Drosophila melanogaster: one gene and its partner. Changing the gene in region 2 together with the main gene of any one other region gives a genetic interaction. Each region holds a gene or a part of one and is shown on either strand. Other genes may lie near its edges.

Region 1 (4,713 bases), on a different chromosome or scaffold from region 2:
TGGGCGAATGTAATAGCTATCATAAGGACACCACTAATAAAACATTTAAAGAAAATCCGAATACGAATCGACATAATTTATGCGGACACAAGTTTTTCCCTGTGCACAATTTATATGAGGTCTTCCATCTGGGTTGAATAACTTGCCCACCTATCAAAGGCTCTCCTGAATTTACATCTCTAATGCCTTCATTGTTGGCAAGCAGACGTTCTGAATACCAGCCCACACACCTGGAAACCCTTTCCCCGATATCATTCGATCCTACACGGGCACAAGGATGCAGGACCACGCCCTCTGCGAGGGGCGGACATGGAGGGACTTACCCAGCGGCAATTCCTCGGGCGTGATAAGCGATAAAAATTCACTAACGTAGGTGAATATAAATGGTCCTGGCGCAATGTCCATGCCTGGTATGCTGTAGGTAAAAAATGTGGCTGGCGTCGTTGTTGGCGGCGCCGTTGTTGTTGTTGTGGCTAATGCTATTGTGGATCCGGTCAGGGCGGACGTGGTGGGTCCTCCAAGGGATGCGAAGCCCGCCGACATCGCTGCTGATGACGAGGACATAATTGTTGTTGCGGCTGGCGTTGGCAGTGTTAGATTGCGCTGGTCCATCTTCGGCCGGATGGCTTGGTTCTCCGCCCTGCGAATGAATTAATGCGGAACAGGCATGGCCATGAATAGTCGGGTAGAGCGCGGGAGCGCGGAGAGGCGGAGGGGCAGAATGGAGCTGAGCCGTATCGGGCCAAACAAAAACCAAACACTCACATGGTGCCCCGGAGAATGCTGTAAAATATTCCCGGAATTTTATGTTCCAATTATGCATTCATATGTATGTTCCTACGCTTCGGGTTCCAAAAACACCCAAGTAACTAGCTGGGCCCCTAGTAACTCACGAAGATTATGTGACATTCGCCAAATTAATGAATATTGCAGCTTCGTGGGGAATTCTCACATATTTCCCACACAAATTGTTTCTGTGGTACCTAAATTTTGTTTATTAAATACGAAGTGACCTAACCCCACTAGGAGCGGTCTGTATGTAATCTTCATCAAATTACGTATACGCCGCGTATGTTACACATTCTGCAATGTTTCACTATCAGGATAAGATATATGTCACATACTAATAAACAAAAGTACAATAAAATATCATTTAAATATTGATATTGATTACTTTACAAAGCAGCTTGGTTTGCTTTATTAAGCATACGCAGCGTGGGCGGGAACTGAATTCCCGCCAAGGTTCTGTTCCATTTAAGTGGCGTCCCTGAATGTCGCCGTGAATTGAATTCTTCACCTCTTAATTCTATTAATTTTCATTTCAGTTCTCGCTTTGTTGCAATCTTGTGCTGTCTTTGCCCTTTCCAATGCTGTCAACACACAATCGAGCTAAAAATCGAGCAAACTAGCTAGCCAAAGGGTCTCTCTTTCACCTCCTGCAGTGCACACATCAATGGGTAATGACTTTCAGAGACTGTAAAATCACTCTTTCACTGTTTTCTCTTTTCTATTTTTCGGTTCTGGGAGCAGACATCTCTTTCGGGCCTGGACAAGTACGGACACCCCGGCAGAAGCCCCTCAAGTGGCCGTTGCAAGCCCAACTCATTTGTTTTCCTTGACAATACCACGTTCGCCGTTTGCCGCCTTTATCGCCCATTCATGCTGGCCAATGGCCATACTAATTGCTCTGCCAGGGGACTTTCCGAATTAGACCAAACCAATACAGATGGCTGGCCGAACCTAAACAGTCTTGAGCTAGAAAGTGGGTCATTAAAACTCGATACGCCGATGCATTGCGTCCCCACCCCGTTCGCATACGTGTGTGTGTATGTGCGTATGTTCGTATGTATGTGCCATCTCCATCTGTATGCTCTGTATGTGACCGCATGTGCGATTATGTTAGCCAAGTGGACACGAGTCAAGGCGCTCGAATGGGCTGGCCAAGCTCTTCGAAGGCAACTCGATACGCAATGTGCGGACTTGTTGTCGGCTATTATCTCCCTATTATTGTAGCCATTTCTCTCCTTGTTAGAAAGATATTAGTGAAAGCCGTTCAATGATAACAGGAGGAGTATTATGGATCGAGGTGGCAGAGTTCAATGCATTGGGTCACGCCGAGTAAAAGGCTTTCAGAACGGCTTAGAGTGGAGTTATTCACGTTACTAACGGTACGGTGGATAATAAAAGAAGTTCGATAATGGTTGTGCGGCAGCTCATGGGTGAAGTGGTACTTAGCTAGTACAAAGCAAATTTCATCGAATTCCAAAGTTGAGTGCATTCTTTTAGGCGCAACTTTCAAAGATGCAGTAAGCAATTGAGTGTTGCATACTTACTGGCGCCCAAATTATTGTTGAAATACCAAAATACCTACCAGAATGGAGTTTTGTGTGTTACCTCGTGTATAACATTGCCAACATTTAAGACCCACATCAACAAAGTCAGCAGTTAGTTCGGATTAAACATAATGAGTCAGACTTAACGCCCCAGTTTGTGCTAATGCACCGCATTCGATTAATTAACGAATTGCACGGCAAACGAACTTACGCACCTCGTTCGGGATCCCAATTAATTGATTGATGTTGAATCGGAGCCCTTTCTCTCTTTCCCTCCTCGCTAAACACTTTCACACACTTAACACAGGCAAATATGGCGTGATTATGGGTTTGACTTTGCGAACCATGCTTTTAATTGAACGTTATTTAAATTCGATTGCAATTAGTTTGATATGTTGATTCGATTCGTTTCGATTCGATTCGTTTGTTTGAACGTTTCGTTACCGAAACTCGGAATTGAGTTGAAATCGGTTCGTAATTGAGCGAATTGGAATACGGGGATACGGCTCACGTTTATTGACCGTTTGCGATTTTGCGACTATTTTTCGGTGTTTACATTGCATGCAATCAAGCCGACAATTATCACCCAATTAATTATTCATTTTCACATAATTAGTATGAATAAGGAATGTCCTGACTCGGCTTCCACCGTAATTCTACCACACAGCTCGACCAGCGTCGTCCGATGACTGAACGGTGAAAAGGTTTTAGGTCCCAATAATCGGCAAAGAAAACTTAGAAATTTTTACCTGTTTTGCCATTTACATTAAGCGAGCAGCGAGTGAAAATGCAAAAGAGGCGCATGGTGAATATAGACAGTTGGTTGCCCATTTTCTTTGCCCGGGGGAAAAGCACGTGCTGCTGAGGCGGGAAAACTACAGCCGGATTCCCCCAACTCCGGAAAAAATAATTTTTTATACCGGGTGTAAGAAAGTCATTCTTCAGCATTAGCTTGATTTAGTCAGATAGCTTATGATGAGGCAAGCGCACATATGTAATATGCATATTTGCAGATATCAAGTGAACAGTGTTATAGAATATTTGCGGGCCTGGAAAGATGCTCAGAGATTTAAGCCCCCTCTAGATGCCAGGTTATGCTGCACAGCCTGGCTAAAAGCTCTTTAGTTTTCGTGGAAATGACAAATATATCTCATAAGAACTAACGACCAATTTCGCAGTTTTGTTTGTGTTGGCGGCAGGCGCCTTGAGCTTTGCATTAAGTAGACTTTGCTTTAAACTTGCATCAACGCCAAGCCAGACAAAGTTTTGCCATCGCTGAAAGCCGAAAGCGGAGCGGGCTAAAGTTAAGCACCACGATGACGGGAATTCGAGGAGGGTCGTCATTTCTCCTGCATTTTCCCCAACATATTGTCAGTGCTCGCAGCGGGAGGCGCCCGTGACAACGACAACGAAAACGAAAACGACAACGACATTGCCTGGGCGCATCCGCGGCAGAAGTGCATTTCATGGCTAAAATTCAATTTGCCTATGATTTATGCATTTTGCGTCAGATTCGCACGCCAGTCCGGAGAGGATTTCAAACTTAAAGTCAGCCACGATGGCCCCAGCTCGGCTCCTAACCGGAAACATCCGCAAAGGTGCATCTAGTTTGGTGGTTACGATATCACCACGCCAACTTCCTGTCCCTCGGGTTCTTTGTGTGCATTTGTCGTCCTTTGTTCGGTGTATCAATGTCACATTTGGTCACAAATGACTCGAGCAGAAAGGCAACTGCGGTTCCTTTTGGTGCGACCGCCAAATGTATTACCATCAAAGGTAACTAGGCAAGGGAAAACCTTTAATAGAGGTGTATCTATGACCATGTAGTAATACATTTAATTTTCGTTGATATCTGAACTCAATGTGATGCCGCACATTCTTCTGCAATTTTCTTCGCTTTATTTTGTATATCAATTTACGAGAATCAGTAGCAAGGGAGTAAGAAAAACACGACTTAAGGATACTCTGACCCCGCAGTCGGAAAGGGATTGGATGGTGAGAAGAATCCAGTCCTTGTAGTACAGAAAGCTGAGGAACTTCATGGCCTTGCCGCCCGCGCATCCCATGTGTCCGCCAATGAGCCCGAACAGAGCCCCCTTGCACAGCAGGGGTCCGCCCATGTCCCCGGCGCAGTTCATGCTTTCTCCCACGGGTTCCGTGCACACATTGTGGTCCGCGGTGAAGGTGTCGTAGTGCTTCTGACAGAGCGAGGGCGGCCTCAAAATCACGTCCAGGTAGACCAGTTCATTCGAATATGGGCCGTGCTGGGGAGAGTGGCATTACTCCATGGCGCTGAAACAGACATGGGTTGGCTCACCTGGTATATCTGCCCCCAGCCAAGTGTGATACATGTATCGCCATAGGTCACGTTAGCCGTCTT
Region 2 (7,936 bases):
TGCTGCACTTCCGCTCCTGGTGAACCTGAACGACTGCGATGTGGCTTTGAATCACACTTTTCGCGTGGGCGACTGCGGTCCTTTGACGCAGGACTTTATGAATCAGCTGCGCATTCTGGTCTACATACGCGAGGACATCGTCTCCTACCACACGGATGTCAAGCAGGGCGTCTCTCGGGATCCCACCTATCGTTGTGGCAGTGGCATTGACATGGACGAGCTGCGCGAGTCCATTAATCAGACAATGACAGATGTCTCTGGCCTTATAGGTCGGTATAGCATCAGCAATGCGGAGTTTGACATCGAAGATGTGGTGCAGAGGGCCAAGGTTCGCCAGCTCACGGATCTAACCGATAAGCTTTGGGAGCTGCTCAAGTGCTGCCACTCCTACAAGGATCTCAAAATTGCCTTTAGTATGCTCTTCCAATGTGCTGCACGGTGTAACATAGTAGTAAGTATGCTAATGCATGCAAACCACCACATATTATTCATGTTCCTCACCCCATAGAACACGCCTACTAACAAAAATCGACTTGCCAAGATTATCACCGAGTTGGCCAACCGTCGTCTGGCCATGCCTTGTTTAAGTGGGGCCGAGCCTCTGGAACTGCTTTTGGAAATTGGCCTGGAGAAGTTGTACAAGGACTACGAGTTTATCTACACCGAGAGCAAGATGTGCAGCACCAATCTGTTGAAGGATGACTCCAGCGGAGCGTCGATGGACGATGGTTCTCCCCAGAATCTGCCCCAGCTTCGAAAATCCCTGCACAATGCGGTCAGGGGTGATCCGACCCCTGGAGCTGGAATGCGAAAGACGCTGCTGCATCATCACGGCGCTGTCAATTCGCGGAGTACAAAATATGCCGGTAGCGACGATGATGCTGGGTTCAAAAACAGCCATTTCGACGAGCACGAGAGTACGGAGAGAATCTCAAAGTTGTTTCAGATTCACTGCACCTTAGAGCATCTCCTGATGATGCACATCCACTTAAATCTGGCAAATGGTAAGAAGGACAAAAAGCAGATCCTGGGATTTTTAGCTATAACTCCGTTTTTGACCTACAGTTTACAACGATGTCTGTTCTGAATTGCTGAAGAAACCGCCTAAATTAGTAGAATCCATCGATGATCAGCTAAGTGATGTTATGGACATTCGCCTGTCTGCCCACTATGTGAGGGATCACTTGGATGGCAAGGATCCCTACTCCCGGCACATTACCATGCGTTCGCACAACAAGTTCCGCGAACTAAAGACCACCTTCTATTTCAATTCGGAAAACATTTGTCCGCCGAACTTGGCTCAGTGTTTCCAGTGTGATGGTAAGTTTGCTTTTTGACTTGTTTATTTTCTATAGCTATGGTAATATATTTGACTTCGCAGACAAGGAGATGGTCAAGGAGCGCACATATCATTCCTGGATATATCACAAGATTCGCTCACTTAAGTAAGGCTTGCTTAGTAATACAAAATTGTACATTCTTTAAATTTAAGCATGGCTAAGAATGGTTTAAAATGGCCTTTTTCACATTGTAATAATTTATTTAATGGATATCTAGCAAGAATGTCCCTTAGCTGCATAATGTTTTGAGACACATTTAAAATGTTGAATTTTTTCAAACACTGCTTGTTGTATTATTAAATTAAATGCCTTTTGGTTATAACTTTTCAAACTTTTTTTCTATCGAACCTTTTTGTTCGGAATTTTAATTGTTTGAGCTTGTTGAACACGCTCTTCGACGCGTTTTCGCAAACCTCCAAAAAAGTCAGCAGTGCACACCGAAATCATGTTAAACGAACTCGTACAAGTTTTAAGCCGACCCAGAGGCTATTGCAGCTGCATTGGGAATCTTGAAAACCTGGCCGAAATCCGCTTCCGCCCTGCTCGCACTTTTATCACAGTGTTTTTGCCGGCCATATTCTATACAAAGGTCAGCATGACCAGCATTTGGCCATTCCTCCAGTGAAGTAATGCTGCAAATGAGGCGAAAAGAGTGTGTGCCCAATGGTGACGGCGCCATCGAGCATTCCCGATATGTTACAATCCAATTAGCCGGATGCGCCAGTTGGCCAACTAGAGTACTTGGCCCGTCGCTGATTGATTTGCAGTTTGTCAGACGTGCGTGGAACGCGCAGCGGTTCGGTCGTGTTTTTTCCAGCCCTGTTTTTCCCCTGAAAAGCGAACGGAATTTCAAGCAAGGATTTCCACGCGAGTGTCCTGGCCAGGGAATATAGCCACTGGGAGCTGGAAATCAAATCAAATTTTTTGGACAGTTGACTAAAGAGTGAAGAGTGAACAGTGCCCGTGAAATCTTAATTAAGTTTGTTTAAATCGCCAAGTGTCGCGAGTGTCTAATTTAATTTACAGCAAAATGGTGTGTATTGGCCAACAAAATGGCCTGATATCCTGCTAAACTAAATCTAAATTGCTATTGAACTACAAAAGAGGACATTTGATAATCTATGCGAGTAGCCCTTGAAGTGCCTAAGTCTTGCGACTTAAAAAAAACCATGGACGGATTCAAATCCTGTGAAATGAAGACACCCCTTTGGTCTAGTCACCCCTGAACTTATCCTCGGAAACTTTTCCAGACACAACAGCTAATCCTTTTGCGAAGTCGTAGTGAAACTGCTAACAGGCTTGAGAAGCCATATTAAAAGTAAAAAGTTAAACGTCCTGCTGACGTTTTCATAATCTATTTAGCTGAGAAAAAACTGATCCTTTGCAATGCGGGCTAGAATTCAATTAAAGGATATTATTTAATGGATACTATTTTAAGATGATAAACCTATATCGTTCTATAGATATCTATGGATACTATAAAGCTGGTTGGAAAACTTTCTCTTGTGACTAAGTGCTAGTCTTCCTATAATTAGTCATCCCAGTACCCAGTACATTATCCATTCTATCCCTAGGGCCTCGAATTTTTCTTTAAGTTCGGCTATGCCTTCCTGACTATAACGCTCATGATCATGATCTGGATGTCGCTGGCTCGCGCCTCCATGTTCGATCGCGAGATGGAGGAGACGCATTACCCGCCCTGCACCTACAACGTGATGTGCACCTGCTCCAAGTCCTCCACGGATCTGGGGATAGTGCACTGCAAGAATGTTCCGTTTCCGGCACTGCCGCGCATGGTGAACCAGTCAAAGGTGAGTCGTAAGATTAGCTATCTCCATAAATCAACACTTTTAGTTCTGGTCATACCCATTTAATTACCCATAACCACCACCACATTAATTTATTAACTCCGATAACTGGAATGTATTCTGGTTTAGGTTTTCATGCTGCACATGGAGAACACAGGTCTGCGGGAGATTGAGCCCTACTTCCTGCAGTCCACGGGCATGTACCGCCTAAAGATCTCTGGGAACCATCTCACCGAGATCCCAGATGATGCCTTCACCGGCCTGGAGCGATCGCTGTGGGAGCTGATTCTGCCGCAGAACGACCTGGTGGAGATCCCGTCCAAGTCCCTGAGGCACCTGCAGAAGCTGCGTCATCTGGACCTGGGCTACAACCACATAACGCACATTCAGCACGACTCGTTCCGCGGCCTGGAGGACTCGCTGCAGACGCTGATCCTGCGCGAGAACTGCATATCGCAGCTGATGTCGCACAGCTTCTCCGGGCTCCTCATTCTTGAGACCCTCGACCTGAGTGGGAACAACCTGTTCGAGATCGATCCGAATGTGTTCGTCGATGGAATGCCGAGGCTGACCCGTCTGTTGCTCACGGACAATATCCTCTCGGAGATTCCGTACGACGCCCTGGGTCCGCTAAAGAGCCTTCGCACCCTAGATATCTCCCACAATGTGATCTGGTCGCTCAGTGGCAACGAAACCTACGAGATCAAGGCCAGCACCAAGCTGAATCTGGACAATCTACACCTGGAGTACAATCACATCGAGGTCCTGCCTCCCAATTCATTCAAGTACTTCGATACCGTCAACCGCACCTTCTTCGATGGCAATCCCATTCACACTCTGAGGGTAGGTTAACTAACCCTTGTGAAACTTAACTGGACGAAAATCCCTCCCAGAAATTTGATTTATAAATAACATATTTGGAACTTACGGTTCGCTTTCAGGAAGATGCATTTAAGCCCGCTCGAATCAGGGAGATCTACATGCGCTACTGCGGCCTGACCAACATTTCGCCTGTGGCCTTTGACAGCCTGGTGAACAGCCTCCAGATCCTGGATTTGTCTGGCAACAATCTCACCAAGCTGCATCATAAGCTCTTCAACAATTTCGATGTCTTGAGGTGAGTCGAGCACCTGCACTCCGATTCACTCACGTTCTGCCCCCATTCCATTTGCACATGTGCATATTGGGGGGAACTAATCGGATTGCCGGCAGCCTCTAAGGCTTCTCAAGTTCCTAAGTTCGTGTGTGCGACAAGTGGGTGACCCTATTTAAAAGAATTCGAGGAAGAGGGAAAAGCCGCGCAATCAGGCAATCTTGCAAAAATACGCGGCACTGAGAAAAAGCTTGATTTGCATAGCTATTATTGAATTTTATAATGGTAAATTATAATTCTATACATTTATTTCTTAATAATAGGGTCATCAGCATGCGGGACAATAAGATCAAGATCCAGAAGCCCACGGAGACCTTCAATGCGGTGCACTACACCCTCCTGAAATTGGACCTGAGTGGAGACCGCAACGACCCCACCAATCTGCAGACCCTGCGCAAGTAAGTGAACCCAGTGCACCGAGAAACATCCTGCTCCCCACACACCCTTCACCCCAGAACCACTCTTGTATTTATTTACAAAAAGTATGACCAGAATGCGGAACATGAGATCACTGTCGATCTCGCGCCTGGGATCCTCCTCCGTGGGACCCGAGGACTTCAAGGACTTCGGCGTGGAGCTGGAGGATCTGCAGATCACCAGGGCCAGTCTCTCCGGGATTCAATCGCACGCCTTCAAGCACGTTAGGGGTCTGAAAAGGCTGGACTTTAGCGAGAACGGAATATCAAGCATAGAGAACGATGCCTTCCATGAGGTTATTCAGGATTTTCTTAATATAATTGGGCTCACTTAATAAAAAAATCTATTTTTTAGATTGGTCACTCGCTCATCTCTCTGAAGATGTCGCACGGCTATTCTGGCAGTGCCCTGCCAGCTGAACCCCTAAGGCATCTGACCTCCCTCCAAGAGCTGGACTTTAGCAACAATCACATCAGCAGCATGAGCGACACCAGTTTCCATTTCCTGAAGAACTTGCGGCTCCTAGAGCTTCATGACAACAGGATCGAGCAGGTTTTAAAGGGCACCTTCCAGGGCGACATTCACTCAAAGCTGGAGGAGATCTCGCTTCGCTTCAACCACCTGACCTCCATATCCCAGCATACCTTCTTCGATCTGGAAGCCTTGAGGAAACTGCATCTGGATGACAATAAGATTGACAAGATCGAGCGAAGAGCCTTTATGAACCTGGATGAGCTGGAGTATCTAAGCTTGAGGGGCAACAAGATAAACAACCTGGCCGACGAGTCCTTCCAGAACCTACCGAAACTGGAGATCCTGGACATGGCCTTCAATCAGCTACCCAACTTCAACTTTGACTACTTCGACCAAGTGGGTACCCTTTCGAATCTTAATGTGAACGTGAGCCACAATCAAATCAGGCAGTTGATGTACAATTCCTCGTGGAGTGGACGAAATGAACATGGTAGGGTCTTCTTTACTAGCAAATCTCCAGTTTGTTAATAGCTTCACTATACAGGTGGCATGTACCACTCGAATATTAAGATATTGGATCTTTCCCACAACAATATATCTATTATCCATCCTGGATACTTCCGGCCTGCTGAAATTTCGCTGACACACCTACATCTGGGCTACAATTCGCTGATGGTAAAACAAATTGTATGACTTTGTTACCAGCCTTTTATACCCTTTGACCCTTTAGAACACGACTCGTGATGTCTTCGGCAACATGCCCCACTTGCAATGGCTGGACCTCAGCTACAACTGGATCCACGAACTGGACTTTGATGCCTTCAAGAACACCAAACAGCTCCAGCTGGTCTTCTTTGGCCACAATTACCTCAGTGACATTCCCCAGGATATATTCAAACCTGTCCAAGGCCTGCGCATCGTTGACTTCTCGCATAATCACCTGAGGGGCCTGCCCGACAATCTCTTCTACAACGGAGGCATGGAAAAGTGAGTAAATAACTATATAGTCAATGTATGGACATAATGTATTCGTGACTCTTAAAGATTGGATGTGTCGCACAACATGATGTTGAAGATCCCCTCCTCATCGCTGTCCAGTTTGGCTGCGCTGACGCTTTGTGAACTGCACCTGTCCAACAACTTTATCTCTACCATTCACAGCATGGATTTGTCCAACAAGTTTAGAGTAAGTGAATTGGTAAAACCGTTTAAAATTATAAGACACAATCTTAATTGTGACTATAGTCCCTGCGCTACCTGGACATCTCATACAACTATCTGCTGCGAATTGATGATGCAGTGTTCGCCACCATGCCAAAACTGGCCGTTCTGGACCTCTCCCACAATCGGGATCTGAAGGTGATGGATAAGTCGTTTATGGGCTTGGAGAACTCGCTGATCAAACTGGGCCTGGAGAACATTTCTCTGAGCACGGTGCCCGAGATTCGACTGAAGTATCTGCGGGAGTTCCGCCTGGGTTACAATGAGCTGCCCTCGATTCCGCAGGAACTAGCCCACAATATGAGTAATCTGCGCATGCTTGATCTCTCCAACAACGACTTGACCAATGTGCCACTGATGACCCAAGCTCTGCCCCACTTGAGGTGCGTTAATCCAACTTGGTAAATGGTCTATCTAATCAGTATTTGCAATTTACAACAGACGTCTGATGCTTTCTGGCAATCCCATAACCTCGCTGAACAACAACAGTTTTGATGGCGTGAACGAGGATCTTGAGATGCTGGATATATCGAATTTCCGGCTGCACTACTTCGAGTATGGCTGTTTGGACTCGTTGCCTCACTTGCGATCGCTTAAGCTCACTGCCTATTCCCACCTGGAGCACTTTAATATTCCACATCTGTTGCGCCACCATTACAATATCCGCCAGTTGTGGATCGAGGCCCCACAGCCCTTCACTCGCATTGTTAAGAAGGGATCTGGACCCACCCAGGAGATGCAGACCCTTCAGCTGGGCAATCCCACCGACTTGCAGCGCGAAATGGAGGGCCATCTGCCCTCCAAGCTGACCAACATCACCTTCAGTGGTCCCCAGTTCACCAACCTGAATGAACGCATTCTAAGAGTGAGTAATTCTTCCAACTCGATGTCTATATAAGCTAAAAATTATATATTTAATTTGATCCAGGGCATGCGTTCTCCATACCTCTACATGCAATTATTCAATACCTCGCTGCAAGCCTTGCCTCCGAACTTTTTTAAGTACATGGGCCGAGTTCGGAACATTTCGCTGGACATTCGCTACCACAACAGGAACCTGAAGAAGATTCCCAATCCAAACACTGGAGCTGTTCCCTATCTGCCGAATAGTGTGTTCCTCACGGACTTGAAGATGTCTCACACCGATCTCAACTGCGATTGCGACCTAGGGTAACGCCTGGTTTTCTTATTGTACGATATTGAATTGCAAATTATAATTTGTTTGTATAGGTGGGTGGAGTTTTGGCAGCGCAAGAGGCGCCAGTACATCTGCTCCTCCCAAACCTGGACCGATACCGTCTTCCGCACCTTCATGAACTCACCTTGCCAAGTGTACGGACGTCACAACTGCGACGAACACGACGATGACCTGAGGGAGACGCGCTGTGAGAACAAAGGAGGGCAACAGCTGATGGAGGTGGGTATCCGATGGAATATTGCCAAGGCATATGTCGCTAATCGCTAATCGCTATCCCTCGATAGGCCCTCAAATTCGATCTGGAGTGCGGGTGGGACAATGCAAA

What was found. Genes that interact genetically often act in the same process or in processes that back each other up.
Region 1: of chp (region 2) and prom, changing one suppresses a phenotype caused by changing the other (phenotypic suppression), as found in Drosophila melanogaster (one study listed by BioGRID).

The regions. Positions count from the first base shown.
Region 1 is NT_033778.4:24,425,362-24,430,074, forward strand, and holds the start of prom (prominin), read right to left. Parts: upstream 3,027-4,713; 5' UTR 2,549-3,026; intron 641-2,548; 5' UTR 613-640; coding exon 324-612; intron 1-323. Other genes in the region: CG15873 (uncharacterized protein), read right to left, coding at 4,244-4,597, 4,651-4,713.
Region 2 is NT_033777.3:31,204,698-31,212,633, reverse strand, and holds the start of chp (chaoptin), read left to right. Parts: upstream 1-1,903; 5' UTR 1,904-2,370; coding exon 2,371-2,373; intron 2,374-2,914; coding exon 2,915-3,151; intron 3,152-3,277; coding exon 3,278-3,991; intron 3,992-4,089; coding exon 4,090-4,265; intron 4,266-4,564; coding exon 4,565-4,699; intron 4,700-4,784; coding exon 4,785-5,013; intron 5,014-5,072; coding exon 5,073-5,682; intron 5,683-5,736; coding exon 5,737-5,867; intron 5,868-5,922; coding exon 5,923-6,179; intron 6,180-6,236; coding exon 6,237-6,378; intron 6,379-6,437; coding exon 6,438-6,796; intron 6,797-6,854; coding exon 6,855-7,278; intron 7,279-7,341; coding exon 7,342-7,583; intron 7,584-7,643; coding exon 7,644-7,830; intron 7,831-7,895; coding exon 7,896-7,936. Other genes in the region: zwilch, read left to right, coding at 1-451, 509-1,004, 1,066-1,320, 1,382-1,449. UniProt on the Drosophila melanogaster protein: Required for photoreceptor cell morphogenesis. Mediates homophilic cellular adhesion.